Kluyveromyces lactis: one gene and its partners. The protein of the gene in region 5 interacts with the protein of the main gene of each other region in a pairwise test. Links are inferred from orthologs where the notes say so. Each region holds a gene or a part of one and is shown on either strand. Other genes may lie near its edges.

Evidence for each region.
Region 1: the proteins of HFI1 (region 5) and TRA1 interact in binary tests that used the Saccharomyces cerevisiae proteins (3 or more experiments, as listed by UniProt). The link is inferred for Kluyveromyces lactis from reciprocal best matches to the Saccharomyces cerevisiae genes HFI1 and TRA1.
Region 2: the proteins of HFI1 (region 5) and TAF5 interact in binary tests that used the Saccharomyces cerevisiae proteins (3 or more experiments, as listed by UniProt). The link is inferred for Kluyveromyces lactis from reciprocal best matches to the Saccharomyces cerevisiae genes HFI1 and TAF5.
Region 3: the proteins of HFI1 (region 5) and TAF6 interact in binary tests that used the Saccharomyces cerevisiae proteins (3 or more experiments, as listed by UniProt). The link is inferred for Kluyveromyces lactis from reciprocal best matches to the Saccharomyces cerevisiae genes HFI1 and TAF6.
Region 4: the proteins of HFI1 (region 5) and SPT8 interact in binary tests that used the Saccharomyces cerevisiae proteins (3 or more experiments, as listed by UniProt). The link is inferred for Kluyveromyces lactis from reciprocal best matches to the Saccharomyces cerevisiae genes HFI1 and SPT8.

The regions. Positions count from the first base shown.
Region 1 is NC_006042.1:2,059,516-2,063,495, reverse strand, and holds the start of TRA1 (histone acetyltransferase TRA1), read left to right. Parts: upstream 1-1,168; coding exon 1,169-3,980. UniProt on the Saccharomyces cerevisiae protein: Essential scaffold subunit of the transcription coactivator SAGA complex. SAGA acts as a general cofactor required for essentially all RNA polymerase II transcription.
Region 2 is NC_006041.1:2,087,375-2,091,328, reverse strand, and holds TAF5 (chromatin modification protein), read right to left. Parts: upstream 2,814-3,954; coding exon 333-2,813; downstream 1-332. Other genes in the region: GPI2 (phosphatidylinositol N-acetylglucosaminyltransferase), read left to right, coding at 1-145. UniProt on the Saccharomyces cerevisiae protein: Functions as a component of both the DNA-binding general transcription initiation factor complex TFIID and the transcription coactivator SAGA complex.
Region 3 is NC_006042.1:978,984-982,479, reverse strand, and holds TAF6 (TATA-binding protein-associated factor TAF6), read right to left. Parts: upstream 2,058-3,496; coding exon 507-2,057; downstream 1-506. Other genes in the region: SLD3 (Sld3p), read left to right, coding at 1-466; DAD3 (Dad3p), read left to right, coding at 2,428-2,685; ARC40 (Arc40p), read right to left, coding at 2,876-3,496.
Region 4 is NC_006042.1:819,320-823,086, forward strand, and holds SPT8 (SAGA complex subunit SPT8), read right to left. Parts: upstream 2,426-3,767; coding exon 515-2,425; downstream 1-514. Other genes in the region: GTPase-activating protein GYP8, read left to right, coding at 1-412; putative ATP-binding cassette family ATPase CAF16, read left to right, coding at 2,720-3,541. UniProt on the Saccharomyces cerevisiae protein: Component of the transcription coactivator SAGA complex. SAGA acts as a general cofactor required for essentially all RNA polymerase II transcription. At the promoters, SAGA is required for transcription pre-initiation complex (PIC) recruitment.
Region 5 is NC_006038.1:904,140-907,418, reverse strand, and holds HFI1 (Hfi1p), read left to right. Parts: upstream 1-1,464; coding exon 1,465-2,763; downstream 2,764-3,279. Other genes in the region: KLLA0_B10373g (uncharacterized protein), read left to right, coding at 1-760; CIK1 (Cik1p), read right to left, coding at 2,887-3,279. UniProt on the Saccharomyces cerevisiae protein: Component of the transcription coactivator SAGA complex. SAGA acts as a general cofactor required for essentially all RNA polymerase II transcription. At the promoters, SAGA is required for transcription pre-initiation complex (PIC) recruitment.

The DNA of each region.
Region 1 (3,980 bases), on a different chromosome or scaffold from region 5:
TTTTTCCGGTTCTTTTTTTCAAATACGTGATCCATTTGGTACGGGATTCTTTACCAAATGTGATGCAAAAAGTGATGGAAAAGGATATTTTTTCTACATGATGATCTGTGAATTTCACGCCACACTCTGAGCCTTGGTTGAAAAAACATGAATGCAAGGCGTACTTCTGGTTTTACAGGCTTTCGAAATGGAGATGAAGAAGAACAAAACAACGTAGTAGAGCTACTTTCAGCGCCTTTTCAAGGATAGAGTTAAATTCTTGAAGGAATTTGTAAGGTACAATGTAAAACAATCTATCACCTGGTTATCAGGGAAGCGCTACAAAATTGTCGAATCTTAATTAGAGCTGTACGGTGCTGGCCGAATGAACCCTTTTTTGAGAACCGTATGTAGATCTTTGTGAACTGTGAATTTATGCACACAGATTACGTCACACAGTCCAATCAATAGAAGCAGTTAATGGTTCCAGTAATAGCTAAAGGGGGGGTATTGCCTCATTTTTCGAGTTGGTAAGTAAAAACGATATTCGTTTAAGTTAGCCGCCTTGAATTTAATCGACGATTATGTTGTACTTGTTTTAATAAGATGTTGTCCGTGAAAAACACGAGTTATCGTGAGCGCTACTTACCCTTCGCCATTGTTCTATCTTTCGACACTCAAAAAATTATGCACATTGGCTGTCCGCTTATCTGCTAGAGTAACGTTCACATTTCGTGCGTATTTTTCTGTTGATGATGGCAAAGAATAAAACAAATACGTAATTTTCAATGAAAAATTAATAGCCGGGTAAGTTATTCGGATCATGCACGTGATCACTTCCTAAATAGGAATGTCATCACGTGATACAAAACTTTTCAAGGTCTACAGAGGTTTTTCAAATTGTTTTTCTTGGTACCAATTGTTTTCAAATTTCGATATGACATTGAAATCTGTACTCTCAACCAACAAAAGCGTAGTATTGATTTCAAACGAATACACGAACTTCAACCACCAAAGCAATTATAGCGCCTTATCACTAGACAACAGGTTCTATCAGCTAGCTTCGCATTTTTGTTCTTTTATTTCAACTTGCATCCTCCCTAATTCATTAATTTCAAAGGAAGACGCGGTCTGCAATTTGATTCTTTATTCAATATAGCTGAGCTGCAACGATTGTAACTTATAAGCAATGGAATCAACTGATACTCATGAGAGAATGGACACTTTTGTCGAAAGAATCAGGGATACTGAAGATGTTGCTGAAAGACATGCCATTATATCAGAACTTTACGATGTTTTGGATGTTGTAACTTCTTCAGTCGAATACGATGAGTTTTTGAAGAAGTTGTTGCCGCTCATTTTATCACAGTTGAATGATGATCAAATCTCAATGAATGCCTCATCTCCTGAACACAAGTTGAGAAATACATGTCTAGAACTTTTGAATAGATGTCCACTTAACGATAAAATGGAACCTATGGCCATGGAAGTGCTGCAATGCCTGTTAAAAATATTAACCTTAGAAAACGATGAAAATGGTGTCTTGTGTATGAAGATCCTCACTTCGTTGTTCAAATGCTATAAGCAGCCATTAGAAAGTGAAGTGAATACGTTCATTAAAATTATCGTTGGAATATATGAAAACGTACCGAACTTGGTGGCATCTACTTTCCTTGGTGAAGAAGAAACCAGCTCATCAACTGCAGATTCACAAGATTTTTCGAACTCTAATAATGAGGAGGATGCTTTCGAAAACTTGTCTGCACCGTCCAAGAAACATTTGGAAAAAGCTACAGAATCATTCAAGACTTTGTCTGAATGCCCAATTACAATGGTGACCTTATTTTCATCATATAAACATTTGATTTTAGTAGACTTACCGACTTTTTTACCACTCGTCATTGACTTACTCACTTTGGAAGTGAAACAACAGCAAAAATCCAGAGAAGAACTAGAAGCTAAAGGTGAAAAACTTATTGGGATGTCGTCAGAAATCAAAAACCGCTCTGCATTCTGTGATTATGTCCTAGCTCAAATCAAGGCAACTTCTTTCTTAGCGTATGTGTTTATTCGCGGTTATGCTACAGATATTTTGAAACTACACGTCAAGAAAGTCCCAGATTTGGTGATGAGATTATTACAGGACTGCCCAAGTGAATTATCATCTGCACGTAAAGAATTATTACATGCTACGAGACATATTCTCTCTACAAGTTATAAGAAATTGTTTCTACCCAAGATCAATTTGATGTTTGACCAAAAAGTCTTGATTGGTGATGGATTCACTTCATATGAAACCTTGAGACCATTAGCGTACAGTACCCTTGCAGATTTCATTCATAATATTCGGTCAGATTTGGCAATGGCTGACATAGAAAAAACTGTTAAAATGTACACCAGTTTTCTTTTGGATGAGTCTTTGGCTTTGACTGTGCAAATTATGAGTGCTAAGCTACTATTGAATTTAATAGAACGGATTTTAACTTTAGGTAAGAAAGACGCATATGAAGTTCCTAAGGCCAAAAAGCTACTAATGACGATTATAGAGGCTTATACTTCAAGATTCAAGCTATTAAATTCACAGCATAAGAAGATATTAAAACAACATAATGTCTACGAACAGAGTAAAAATAAGAAATCTAAGGAGATCCAAGATCAACTTGCGAAAGACAGGCACGATGTTGATGAATATATGGTTAACATCTTGAAATCAACAGACGAATTGTTACCGTCATCAGTTACTGTTGATACCAATGCCGACGTCGATGGTGATATTACTATGAGCGAAGAACCTGATATATCAGAGAAAGGTAACAGTTCGGTGCATAGTGATAATAACACATCACTGACTGTAAAGAATCAAGATAAAAATTCGGATATATCGTTCAAAGAAAACTCAGTTGAGATATTGGACTTCAATGATATACAAAATCATGCTCCAATAATTCTCTTCCAAGCGACGTCAAATGATCCTCTTAAGGACGCATTTTACTTATATCGTACTCTTCTTTCATTTCTGAAAACCATTATTCATGACTTGAAGGTTTTTAACCCACCCCCAGATGAATATACTACAATGAATCCGAAAATGTGGTCTGCATTATCAAGAGTATTTTCCTACGAAGAGGTGATCGTGTTGAAGAATTTGTTCCATGAATGTATAGCTGGTCTACATCTATTTTCTTCTAATCCAGAGGGCATTGATCCATCCACAGTAAAAGCACACTTCGATATAACTACACCTAGCTTACCTGTGTCAGCAACTAAAGATGGTCGAGAGTTGATGGATTATTTCGCTATTATTTTCATGCAAATCGACAGTCCTGTCTTCAATGAAATCGTTGAGAGTGAAATCGTCTTTATCTACGAATCTTTACTACGCGATTCAGCTTTGTTGCATGTTGCTCAATCATTCTTGACAAGTGAAATCACATCTCCCAATTTCACCGGTATTCTTCTAAAGTTCTTGAATTCCAAACTTCCAGAACTAGGGAATGTGGACAGTAACAAATCAAATATACTCATCAGACTATTCAAGCTATCATTCATGTCTGTCAATCTCTTCCCTATTACCAATGAGGCGGTCTTGTTACCTCACTTGAATAATTTGATTTTAGATTCTTTGAAGTATTCGACAGAGGCTGAAGAGCCTTTGGTGTATTTCTATTTGATAAGAACATTGTTCAGAAGTATTGGTGGCGGCAGATTTGAAAACTTGTATCGTTCAATAAAACCAATACTTCAAACTCTTCTACAGTCCCTCAATAAGATGATCCAGACAGCTTGTCGCCCTCACGAACGCGATTTGTATGTGGAGCTCTGTCTCACTGTGCCTGTGAGGCTTAGTGTATTGGCACCATATTTGAATTATCTAATGAAGCCATTAGTGTATGCCTTGGTTGGATTTCCAGAATTGATAACTCAAGGATTAAGGACTTTGGAGTTATGTATCGACAATCTAACTCCAGAGTATCTAGACCCGATTTTGGAACCAGTTGTCG
Region 2 (3,954 bases), on a different chromosome or scaffold from region 5:
TGTCGGGATCACGATACCTTTGGGAATATCATCTTTGTTACTATTATTTGGAATCCCTCATTACTATATCCACTGGGAAAGCTACTATTATAAAGGACATCCGATTTTACAGCAGTGGGACGCTGAAAAACCAATATTAGATTAGTTATTAGGATTCTGTTAACATTTACATTTCATTGACTGCATTGATATCAATGCACATAAAATATACGTACTCATTGTAAATAATATAAAGATAAAGCGCATTCTCTTTTTTTTTATTTATTACAATTGGACAACTACTAGATATGTCGAATAAACGACCCTTATCTGGCTGAGTAAAGTAATCGCATTTACTCAATAAATGCACCACCAGCCAAAACTAGGTTCGTTCTTGTGAATTTTACTTTGTGAATTGCTGTTTTCTTTGTATGGAACGAAGCCATCAAATCCTGAGTTGGTATTACTGCCCGCCTACGTCCGAATTCTTTGATATCGTTATTTACACTGAGTTCCATATCTCCTGAATACGTGTTGAATTGTTGTTCCGGCTCCATTCCAGGCTCGTTTGTAAACCTCTTTATATCCCAAACTCTAACACTTTGATCCGCACCACCTGTTACTAGACAGTTACCTTCTTTGTTAAAAGTTATGGAATAGATAGGATTCTTACCGTGACCCTTCATCTGTTTGATTCTTTTACCAGTACCAATATCCCATACGATAATTGTGCCATCCTCACTGCCCGTAGTTAACCACCTACCGTCAGGCGATACTTCAAGTGCGGTGACTGGTGATGTATGTCCCAAAAACAGTCTAACAGAATCACCTGTTTGAATATCCCACATACGGCACGTTTTGTCGCTGGAACCAGTGAAAACATAGCAACCATTTGGATGGAAAGTGCTACAATCCACGTCATTTAGATGACCTGAGAAAATTCTCAACGGATAGATATGATCACAAGACCATAGTCTAGCCGTTTGATCATGTGAAGCGGTGATGAAATAATGGCCAAGTGGAGAAAACTTGACGTACCATACTGGATGGTTATGGCCTTTGTAACACACTAGGCAAGTGAACGTATCTAAAGACCAAAGTCTGACAGTTTTATCTTCAGATGCGCTAAGTAAGTACCTGTTATCCGGGCTGAATGCAACGGAATAAACTGGTCCGCTGTGTCCTACCAAAGTAGCAGAGTTCGATTGGTCTTTAGCTTTGGATGGGAGGATCGACTGTAGCGGTGATCCATCAAGGTACCATACCTTAATTGTACTGTCTTGGAAACCAGCTGCAGTTAGTCTAGCATCATCACTAAATTCTACGCAAGTCATATTACCATTAGTGTTGTGGAAAGTGTACATACACACACTTGGTGCAGAAGTTTGTAGGTTTTTCAATTGGATGGAATCTCTACTCTCCCTTACTTTTTGAATTTCCATCTTTAGATCTAAAGTTGTTTTTACCGGTAGCGGCAACGAATCCTTTGCTGGTGATTCCATCATAGATCCAATTGAAGCCTCTGGTTTTTCTTCCTCGTCTTTATTCTTTGAGTCTCTTTTCTTTCTTTCAGCAGCCGATGATTCGACACTAAGTGTAGGAGTGCCTTTCTCTTCTGTATCTGCTGTTGCATCGACTTCTTCTCCACCCTCTTCAGCTTCAGGTTCCTTATTTTCATTTTCTTCCTTAACGGTGTTATCATCAGCTTTTTCAGTGCCCTCTGGTTTGTTCTGATTACCGTTCATTTCTCTATATTCCTCAACTAATGTCTTACCGACAGGTTTATCCTTATTCTCAGCTGCCTCTTGTTCATCTTTTTTCTGCAACTCAATCTCTACTTCCTTGGTGAACTCTTCGTCCTTTGGATACGGTCCTAACTTCACAGGTACCGAGTTATACGTATCAACATCAATATCACCGGTTGAGATATCTTTGATCCCGTCGGTGAGAATATCCTCAGATTTGACAACATCTACGATATTTGGATCCAAGTTTTGGTTTATGATGGAAATCAACAAAGATCCTCCCACACTTTCGTTTTCGTTCAAGAAATACAACAAAAGGTTCAAAGTAGTTCTTGAGATTGTGATCTTATATTTATTGGTTTGGAAACCTTGAGCCAACTCATTTTCCTTGATGTGATCTACTGAGTTGACACTGAATAATCGGTTAATTTCTGATCCATGAAGGGCTTTGTAATCGACAGAATACTTGTCAAAGAATCTTCTCGCTTGTAAGGGGTCCTTGATGACCAACTGTAAAAAAACGTAAATGAAAATCGGGTATATGATACGTGATAGCTCAGGTTTGTACAATTCTAAAGACGAATCGATCCAATTTTTCAACATTGAGTAAGCTCTAAAATAGTGCAAGGGTGTCACCTGTTGCGGTTTTATCAATTGGCCGTTGTTATCTCTTTTCAAGGGCATCGAAGGATTTGAAACAGGTTTTGCAGTGGTAGTACTTCCTGTAATCGCAGTGGCTGATGCAGACGAGGCAGGGATTGTGTTAGAAGCAGCAGCGTTTTTATTTGGAGGCGTCAAAGTACGTGACGATTCAGCACGAAGCATCTGTTCCGTTCTGTGATACCCCTTCTTATTCAAATATTCCAAAACGATGCGGTTCAAATCTGACGCTGAAAACCCCGGTTTAGAAGCTGCCGGTGCATTCCCACTGGCACCGCTACCGCCAGCATTGGCATTAGCGCTAGCATTTCCGGCCGCACTACTATTTCCATTGCCACTACTTCCGCCTGCACCGGGAGCCGTGGCTCCTGACGCTCCCCCAGCTGCATCGCCTGCCTTGTTTCCCTGTTGTTTGCCGTTCGAAGACATATTAAGCAAGCCGGAAACTGTGCTAAGAGGTTCTTCTCTTTCACGCTTTTTTTTTTTAAAAGGCTAAGCAAGTATACCTAGTTCCTTATTCAGCTTACTCCTAAGCTCAAGTACTGGTATAGTTCAAGCTTGCTAAGGCAATGATTTAGCAATCATTTGCTGTTTATTTGTTTACTTATTCATTCACATTTTTCAGTTTTATTTTTTTCCATATTCAACTTTCAACCTGGAAACTACTCTCAGACACAAAGTAACTGGCATTTAGAGATCTGAATTAAAGGTCACGTTTTACGGATTCAAGAATTATCTTTTCAGTACATCTCCGGGTAACAGGTTGAACAGCCCCGGAGTCCACAGCACGTTTTTAGACTTCGATTCGAACTTTATTTTAATTTTTACTCGCAGAACGCAGTTAAGCTACATATCTAGAGAACCCAGTATAAAATATATGTGTACAGAGAAACAGTGGGGAGAGGCTTTAAAGGGTCGGGAATTTTGCAGTGGCCTTGGGTGGGTAAATGAAGATCCCTATTTCACGATGCCAAAGCCATACCCCCCACAAATGACTTCCTTTTCGTTTTTCCATCCAGGGGTAGGAGTCCAGTAATTGGATCTGGATTCGTGTTTTTCAACTTCCAAAGAAGGGATGCTTATTTTGCGGGATGCCAGTTACCAATGTACATACTACGGGGGTACCTTCATTTGACGTGGCAATTGGAGGTAATGCGTGCCGCGTCTGTAATATAACAGAAATTATAAGTCACGTTGCCCTTATTTTACTATTTCGTTACCCGGTTCATGTAAAAATAATCCCATTGGGGTTCCACTAATGTCAGGAGACGAAGTTGAACAGCAATGAAACGGTGAAGTTGGGAAAAAAAACAAGAATTCAAGCACGAAAGTTGGAAAATTAAAGGAATTCGCCTTCTTCTCAGTTCTGATACTTGTCTTTCCATCGTCAAACGTTGCTCCATCTCATCGCAAGGCCCATCAGATACACTAGCAAACCGTTCTAAAACGCCAGCTGCTTCTTCTATAGAAAAGCCATACGCCGTTGAGTCACTGCGTGAGTGAATCAGTAGGTCTGTGAGTAGGATAATCTTTCCTATTGTACGTCGATTTAGATTTGCCAAAAAAGCGT
Region 3 (3,496 bases), on a different chromosome or scaffold from region 5:
CTCAAACCTTGTAGAGTTTTTGGAGGAGGAAACAACAAAGAAGAAACCCAAAATGGCGTCAAGGTCGTCGTCGGATTTGAAACTGAATCGCCTTCAAAAAAGACAAATGTCTGTGCAAGATCTTTCTTTAGACGATATTGTCAAGCAAAGACAACAAATATTGGAGGAGTTCAGCACTGTTAGAACTGTTTTGGTAAACGGAAAAGCTATCAATATCTCTCAATCTCATAATAACTCTTTCCAACGAGTTGGTAAACGTAAACTTGCTAGCTATATCTCAGAAACCGGATTTGATGATAAACAGCAGGATATACATGTTACAGCAACTCCGATCAAACCTATAGAGGAAAAGAAGGACACCCCAGTGTTGGTGGCTTCCCCTTCAGTTGTTTCAGAAACACCAGTTAGGGCATCGCCAGTAAAGGTTAAAACCAGGCACGTCCGTAGGAGATTATTTGCGCCGTAGTTAATACGTATATTCGTTACAATATTTACATATTTGATGTCTAAAGCTCACCAAAAAATATAGCATCGTATAGAGTCTTTGCATCGTCTCTTTCCAGTATTACGTTGCCGACAGTAATTCCGCATCTTTCTCTCAAACGAGTTTTGTCCTCCTCACTAAAATCACCAGAAGGGTTGTATGAAGATGGAAGATCAGATTTCAAGTTCTCTAAAGTGGACACTATCACTGTTGACAATAATTTTATCTCCAAGTCAGTTAGGTTCTTTCCGCTCTTGCTGTCTTCCGATTGGCTTCTGTCATATTCCTCGAAAACTAGTTTCGACCAGTTTTGTAAATTGCCTAAAAAGAATCTTATTGTTTCGTTACCGAGGACAGAAACACCACGTACACAACCATAGTAAGTACCGAATGATCTATTGATATCCAAGAATGTCTTAAGTAAAGTTCTAGTAACACGAGGTTTCAACGATTTGTGAACCTTTGGGAACTTTTTCAAGACGTGATCGAGTAAAGAGCTAGCAAAATCACGGACAGCATTAGTCTTCTCTAAAAACTCTTTTTTATTTTGCTGGTCAACAATCTTGTCGTCAGATGAGTTTTTCGAGCCATTACCACCAAGTCTCTTCGCTAATAGTAGTGTTAAGATAGAAGGCATTAGAGAATGAATGTAAGGATCCAAAAATACTGATTGATTACTCAATAACGAATATATCATTTCCAACATTGTAGTTAACAACTCCAAATCCTCTAAATGGTGAGTAATCTGCTCTGCGATAAACTGTATGAAATATGGAACAAGCTGATGTAGTCCTGTGTCAGACTTCAACGAAGTTAAAGCTGCTGCTCTCATCCGTTGTGAATTGATATCTTCTTCCTTCGATGTAAGTGCACTAGCAACTTTTTCGAAATATATCTGTAATTCTTTAGACAAAACGTGTTTGACCAATGGCTTAGCTTCACTTGCTGCACCTGGTTTCACTTGTGTCGAGATAGGTCCATTTGCGGTGGCCTGTCTTTCTTCATTGACATTTGTTTGTAAAGAGGTTTGAACAGAAGTTTCGTTTAATGGTGAGACTATTGCTCCTCTTTGCAACGGAACTTGACTCAGCCTTAGTTCATTGATATTTGGATTTTGTGGAATGGCAGGTTGAATTCCTTCTACCGCTAGCCAATGCGCCGTGAACGTTGGTAATCTTGGAACTTCTGGTAATGGAGTATTGATCAATTTTTCAAAATCGATCTCCTCATCATCTAGGTAATAAAGCGTCTGCCCATTAGCGCCCTCCAACTTATTGAACTTAACGGGCTCATTTTTCGCTGATCCTTCCTCGAATCCATACAATGGCTCGACGTTAAGGACACGTAAAGCTTTCGCAACATCGCTTGTAGTCAAAGTAGATCGCTTACTGTGTCTCTTAAATTTCACCGCTTGTTCCACGATTTCCAAAATACGGTACTCGACATCCATCGCCAATGACCTCAACACGTCATCATTTGTATTTGAGATTCCGAGTGAATCTGCCACATCCTTCACCGTATCATGCGGGGACCAAATTGTATAAGATTGTTGCTGAGAGGACTGCTGTGACATTATTGAAATTGAACACAAATGAATAAAGAAAAGAATACCGTTTACTCGAATAAAATTTATCGCTGTTTCAGTGTATACACCTGAAACTAGAGTTTTCGAGTGGATGTTCGTGCAATAGAGGAGCGCTGGTGTTGTATTCAAATCGTTGGCTTTGTATTCCTTACTTTGAAGGATGGAGTTGTTATTCTTTCAGGATTCGATCGTTTATGTTTTTCGTCAATATTGGAAAATACCAAAAATGAAATAACGTTATCATAAGTTTACCGGATAGAGTTCCAATTGAATATGTAAGGTAAGGCAACAAAGGTAACCATTACTGGTTTGGGCTTACGTACAAATTACAAAGAAACATACTATTTGTGTTTTGAATATGTCTTCGGAACTGACACCATTGCAGCGAAGTGTGCTCGATAAATATCGCTTCCTAGCGGAGTCCTTAAGGGAATTGAGCGAAACACTTTCAGATCTAAACAACACCCATGAGGACTCAAAACCGGAAGCAATTTTACAAGAGATGCGAGAAATTGAAGTGAAAATATCTCTTGTAAGTACGCTTCTCAAAGGTAGCGTATATTCACTCGTGATACAGCGACGGATGGATCACCAACAAAAACCTTCAGATCTATGAGCGGAATCGGACTGATTATTGTAATCATAATCAGAGTTGTAACATTACATTTTAATATATATGAACATAGATATACATATTTCATTTCTAAGGCCACTCTTTTTTATTGTATTCTCACTCTGAACGTAAGAGTTATAGGGGTGATCTGATCAACTATTTGATGAAGAGATGAATCGTTTACCGTCCATATCTACAACTTGTATATAACAAGTTTACCATCCAAACCAACAGAAGAAACTTGAGTGACGTTGTTGTTAGATTCCTTGTAAGCAGCCAATTCTGTAATTGAGTTCACATGGGTAGATTTCTCTTCTTGCTGGCTAACTTTACCCTTCAAATCCAATTCCTTGAACTTTCTCAATGCGGACATACCGAAGGCACCTTCTTCTTCATCATCCCCAGTTGATGCTACCAATTTGCCAGCACTCTTAACTGGGCTATCCAAAATCTTGGACACTTCCCAACCCCTTGAACCTTCGCTGTACAAAACAGGATGATTTGAGAAACCAGCTGCTAAAATTTCATGATCATTGATCCAACATAAGGTGATGAATGGAAGACCTTCTGGGTTGTCTACACTCTTAATATCGTCAGTGTAATCAGTGATATTCAAGGAACCATCGTGGGTGACAAATGCGACCTTATCGATGGAAGATCTCCATTTGATATCGTGGATCCAGGCACCCTGGTACCATTCTCTAACCAAAGAACCAAATGGGAATTTCTCACCCCATGGAGAGCCAGCAACTTGTTCCTTGGTATCCAATCCCTTAATGAAACCGGAAAACACACGAGCGTAACCATCAGTACC
Region 4 (3,767 bases), on a different chromosome or scaffold from region 5:
AGTGGAGGCTTATGAAATTGATTTTGAGAATGACATGGACCTGATACATTCTGTAGTACAACAAACTTTGCTGAAATTTCTAACCCGATCATCATGGGATGAAATATTAACCCAGGCAAGACTACGGCTAAACAATAGTACGGTTAGAGTGGCAAAATATGTCAACAAATACAGTAGTTTGATATCTGTATCCAATATTGAGTTCTCTGAATTAATAAACGTTCTTTCAAAAGAAATAGAATGGGACGCTTCAAGGAAAATCGTCAAAGCGTCACCAAAGATTCCACTATTTGTTAAATGGTCTCTCGTTATAGGCATAATTGCGGCTGTAATCAAGGTGGGTTCTTCACATACCAACACTATACATAGTTCTTCGTTGATAGATTCTTTGAAAAAGGTGCTAAGTCCGTAATAAGTCCGTTTAGTTGCCTTCCGTGTAATGATACAGATATATTTAACATGTATTTATTTTATACAGGTTACCGAATACTTATAACACTGCTTCATCAAATGTTTAATTTAGTTCAATATCATAGATTAAAGTTACATCGGTCGCTGTACCTTGCCAGCCTCGGTTACCACTTGTACTAATCATGAATCTACATGTAGGATCCACATAAAGATTTGAGATACATCCACCATGATGTCCTGGAATAATAAGTGGGGTTTTATCGATATGGTTAATATCAAAGATTCTGATGTTATCGTTAGATGCCGCAACAACGTGGCTATTGTTAGGCATTGCCTTCACTTTAGAAACGGGTCCTGAAATTGATGGCAATTTTAATTTGCTTTCCACTACCTCGGGCTTTCTTAAATCATATATTTCTACAACAGCATTTCTTCTACCTGCTATTACTTTACCCCCGTCTACTGACCAACATGCAGACATGCACCATGGCGGTGTTGAAACATTACGACCAAGTTTGATAATTTCGCTCGAGGGTTGTCTTCGATCCCAGATTTGAATATTACCATCAATGCAAGACGTCAAAAATAAGTTTTCATCCGTTTTCAAAGCTAAAGTATTCTTACTAATGGTTTCTGATTCGACCTTCTTTTCTGATGTGTGTTCTTGTATCTCATTTTTATCTTTGTTTTCTTGTTGAGTATTATCTTCAGCTTTCTCGGTATTATCGTTGGTAGCTACGTGTTGATCATCCTGATCATCATCATCATCATCATCACCAAACAATGAATTAGTATCAACATCATCGATATCAGCTGCATCTCCGTTGCCAACTACATTATTGCTATCGACATCAGGATTGTGTCCACTCAAGTTAGGCTCAGGAAGTTCGTAGGCGGCATTGGTGGGTCTGAATTCTAATGAAGACAACTGTGATGTAGCATTGAACTTGGTTATATCAGTTCCTGTTTCCAAATCCCATTCAATGACGGTTTTGTCCCAAGAACCCGATAAAAACCTAGTTTCCTCATCATTAAGTACAAGATGGTTAACGATGGATTTATGACCTTTAAAATAGTGTGCAGTCCTCCCTTCAAAATATCTAACACCCTGCATTACGATACCGCCAGTTTCTTGTCCGGCTAGTATGAACAAACATTCATTTTGAACCGCCAAGGAGTGGACAGGTGAGACGAGAGGAAGATACTCCGACTTTTGTTTTACCCATTTTACTTTTGACGGAGGTTGCGGTACTTCATTCTCCCAATAAGAAGTCAAGATACCCGCATTGACAATTGAATCCACCAATGCGTTCTTCTGCTGAATAGTTAGTGATAGCTTACCATCCACAGTATTTAAGAAGTCAAACTTCCTTATAAACCCGTCTGACCCACCGAGAAATAGATACCGTAGACCCTTGGACATGGTCAATGCCTGTACATTAGTCTGTATTGGTATTGCTGCAGTTGGAAGTATATTATAAGATTCTGCTACAGATGCAGATCTATAAAGAGTCGTATAATATTGATGTATCTTATCCAGCTTTGACATTTCAGTAGATTTCCCATCTGAAGAAGATGGAGAATCCTTCTCAGAAGTTGCGGATTCCTTTTCGGCACTCTCGGCATCATCATCTCCAATTTCGTGGGTATTAGATTGTTTAATTTCCCCCGTTCTCGTGCCCTCTTCACCATTCTCTGTCTGTTCTTCATCTTCTTCCTCGTCATCATCGTCATCATCGTCATCACTGCGTTCATCATCATCATCATCATCATCATCATCATCCTCACTTCGATCTTCAGCATCTTCGTCATCGCTCCGATCTTCATCCTCATCGTCGTCATCATCGGCATCTTCAGCATCTTCATCTTGTTCTTCCTCGTCCATCGGCTCGTCCTCTTCGGCGTTCGGAACATCCACATCTACATCCTCCAATTCATCGTCCATGTCAACATCATCATCTTGAGTATTTTGAACGTTATTTTGATTCAAGATTTCATCCACATCATCATCCATATTGGAACGTGGCTTAGGTGGGAAAGGACAATGTTTTGTTGTGATGTGTTACAGTGTTTCCTGTCATATTCACTGTGTCCTAAATTCGTACAGACAGGTTTATTTTGGTTGAAATCATTTCAATATCAACAGTTTTATTTTCCAAATATCAAATTGAATCAGAACACTTTCAAATGGAGACAACAAGATAACGATCCTATTATACACTGGCGGAGCTTCTAATCACCGCTCAATCGGTATCTAACTATAGAACAAGTCACTCAAACCTTTGAAAACTACAAGCCAAAACAAATAATGGCCTCGAACGACCTAGCAGTGGAAGTGCACGATCTAACGTACGCATTCCCCGGAAGTAAACGCTCAGCAATCCACGATCTATCGCTAAGTGTCGAATGGAACAAGAAAGTCTTAGTGGTGGGTAACAACGGTGCTGGAAAATCTACGCTGTTGAAACTACTAAGTGGTAAACATTTGTGTCTCGGTGGGAACATAAAAGTTGGAAACAAGAACCCATTCGCACCAAACAATGACCAGGAGTCCGTGATACTGACTACTTACTTAGGCACTGAATGGGCTAGTATGGCTATTGTACACAGGGATATAGGAGTCCTGGAACTCTTGGAGAGTATCGGACTAAGCCACTACAGGGCTCGAGGTGAAGAGCTAGTGAGAATCTTGGAAGTGGATATCAATTGGAGAATGTTCAAACTTAGCGATGGCCAAAAGAGACGTGTACAACTGTGCATGGGTTTATTGAAACCCTTCAAAGTTCTGCTATTAGACGAAGTCACTGTGGACTTGGATGTCGTGGCACGTGACCGTCTATTCCAATTCCTGGATCGAGAAACGAGAGACAGACAATGTAGCGTTGTGTATGCAACGCACATTTTCGATGGGCTAGCACCATGGGCTGATGAGATTATCCATTTGCAAGATGGCACCATCACAAGAACGTTGGATTACCAACGTGATATCCACTTTACAAAGGAAATAGAGGGCGTCCAAGAGCGAAAGGACAACGGACGACACACCGTGATACTAGGCTACATGAAGAGTTTATACCCGCTTGCACTCCACTGGTTGACCAGAGACCAAGTCGAAGACCAAAAGCTTTGATTCAACTTCTAAACGGTCAAACCGATATATGTCTGTAATATACTATATATACATAATCAGACTTTAATCATACACAAAGCGAAAGATAAATCACGTGAGTAATATATCGGTCCATTGCCTAGGTTCCCTCCCTTCCTCGTTTAAAAAACGTAATGCTGCCAATCGTATAACGTCGTTTACGGGATTTCGCCTCGAGGGAACGAAAAGAATGAAAAGCATAATACGA
Region 5 (3,279 bases):
CACTAAGACGTTGTCCCCATCATCACTTTTAAAATATGAATCAATCAGTTCACAGGGAACTTATGACGAAGGGTTCTTAGATTATGATTTTTTCATATCTTCTAAGCTGATTGAACTAAACTGTCCATTTCACTGTCAGTTTAATTTTCTGACGAAAATGGGAGCTAAAGTCACCAAGGTCACAGTTTCCCTAGTGCAGCTTGTTCTGATACCATGCCTCAAATCAGATGGCATTACACCCTTGAAGAAATCGTATATCCAAACTAATACCGTCCATTTGGGTCATTATTTTCCCACTCCAAATGATAACGAATCGAAGCTGGTAACTGCTAAATTCGAAGAACTTGTAATTAACACAAACTCTAAAACAAGTTCCTTAATGACTAAGATCTTGCCATACTACTGTGAGGAATCAAGGTTAAGGTTAAGCAGGAGGAACTCAACTGAGAAACGTTTTAAACTTAAGATTACCCATCATTTAAAGATAACTGCTGGTACATCTCTGGAAGATTGTACTAACGGCACTTTTCCTGACAAAACAAGACGTATTAACATTAATTTCAAGGTGCCCGTTATGATAATTGATAAAAATATGGGTTCCAGCTTGCATTTACCAGCTTACGAACCAGCTATGGATGGTAAAGCCATGCCCGTTTCCATTGGTAGTGAATTTGATCAAACAAATAATTCATCTCTGATATACATTCCTTCAACTTCATCTAGCTGCTCTCCGCCAAGTTATAACAGCTTAGGTTTCTGAATATCCTCACCTCACAAACACAAGTATCTAATAAATAATATTTAATAAATAGTCGAGAATGTCAGTAATCATTTATCACCAATTCGGAAACAATTTGTCTCGTGACAGATTCTTTCTTGAAGTGTCGAGTGATTTCATCACATTAATGAATAAAAGTGGAATTTCGATACTTAAGGATGTAATTGAATAGCCAGAATACTATTGACAATTCCGTTCCAGGAGTGGTATCAGTGGTCAAAGTATATTACAGTAGACAGCAAGTTAGCAAACCATAGTGTTCATTTCCTCAAAAGCCATATCTCATATACCCATTACGCGTCGTATTACTGAGTACTATTTGGAATTACCCTCACTTCGCCTTTCCAATCGAATTTCGGTTTTAGTTTTCCGTTTGAAAATGAAGAAATCAGAAAATCGAATGAAATTGTATAGGATGGATGAGATTAGCGAGTTCAGGAAAGAGAAAGCCGCCCTATTTGACGGACAACAAGGTACTTCATTCGGATTTTGACTGTGCACTGACTGTGCATTGATAAGTAATTACTGATAATCTGAAAAAAGGTGACAATTTAGCCGTGGTTACCGCTCATTTTGAAACCCTCCACTGGTCAATTTTCGTCTCTGGCTACTGCGGTTTATTTCTACTTTGGTTTATTTTAGAACGCTGTCAAAAATAAAAGGCATATCGAATCACGTGACCGAGAATGTCTGTATCAACGCCAACAGTTGCAACAGGTGGTACGCCGACAATTCATGAAGATATTGGTATTAATAGCAACCATCAGAACAACAATACCAATTCGGTGAAGGAAATCAGCAAAACCAGTAATAACAATGGTGGAGGAAACGTTGGGTTTCCTCAGGATAAGCGATTGGATATTGAATCTATGATTAATGAATTTAATGAAGTTTTAAGCAAAGAGCATTGGGCGAAATATGCCAGAGTGATTTCGTTATTCATACTCGGAAAATTGTCCAGAAAGGAATTGGTCAATGAATTAGACTTACTATTTAAACCTACCCAAGAACAGCCGAATATTAAACCAAGAGATTTAATACGATTGCATAACCAACTTTTACTATCGATATTCACTAATTCTCTTAGAGAAACCACCGACGATGATCCACAATCATCGAAATGGGGGTTCCAGAACGGTTCTCAACAACAGAATAAGAGAAGATCAAACAAGCCCAACTCGCAGATCGAATTATACAAAAAAATTGTTGTTTCCCTACCGTTATCGGATAGACAACGATTAAAAATGATAACAAAGGAAGCAGGAAAACGAGGATTTGTATTATGTTCAGTGCTACAGGCTAGATTGAGACAGATACCGAAATTACCTTGCGTCTTCAACCAGGAAACTGCCAAGAGAATTCAGCAACAAGATCTGAAGGGCCCACAGGAATGGTCCCAAAAGATCATGAATGGTTTCAAAACACAACTTTCTACCGAGTCATATGTTTTACCGGATAATGAGTCTCTTTATCTTCGAATGCTAGGAATTGCAAGAGAAAATGGAATTGTTGGACAGATAGATTCGCGATGTGTTGATATCGTATCACTTGCATTAGAGTATTATCTCAAGACAATTATTGAATCCACCATAGATACAGTAAGATACAGAGAAAAGAAATACTCGGACTTCTACGACCTAAACGATGACGGGTTCCAACAAGCATCTAGTGCGTTAGCAAATAGTAAGACTGAGAGTGATAAAGCGAAGGATATTACTGGTAACAGAACTGTATCCATTACAAATGAAGACGCTTTGGACTCGTTCACGATATTCCCCAACGTTGTTGATCCAACAGGTGCATACCTTGGATTAACTACAAATGGGTTGGTAAATGACGATGAGATCGTTCATTTCAAAAGTCCTGTCGATGATCTATTTCATTATAAACGGGAAAAGCCTAACTTCACTCCCCTTGACGAAAAGAATATGGGAAGCCGGGAAGAGCTTAACTGGCTAATTAAAGATATTCTTACAAAGAAATAATGACTAACAGTATTGCGAATATTCTCAATTGAAGGAGCCAAAAGTCACTCTTCTGATTGATTTAATCGAACAATTTCCACGCTTTCATTTTTTTGTAGAATTTATAGACAGGGAATATGACTACTATTTCGGATTTGGTAGTTTATGTAAAGTTTGTGATAATTGTAATAATGAGGAATCTGGTGTATCAAAATTGAATATTATTAAGGATTCAAGTCTTAATAATAACGATTGCAAGAAGGTCGAGACTGGGCTGACAGCCGTCTTTGTGATATCAATCGCATTCATTTTCTGAATTTCCTTAGTAGGTGCTTGGATGAAAAATATGCTTTCAAAATCATCTTCTTTATCGAAGACTTCAAATTTCATAACATGAATTCCTCTGAAATCGGGAAGTATAAAATTATTCACTTCTTCAATCGGTAGTCTTTTAGAATGGAAATCAATACATTTTTCGTCAATGACAGCGGATAAATCAGAATCCTCAGAATTTAATAAATCCTTCGAAAGGTCACT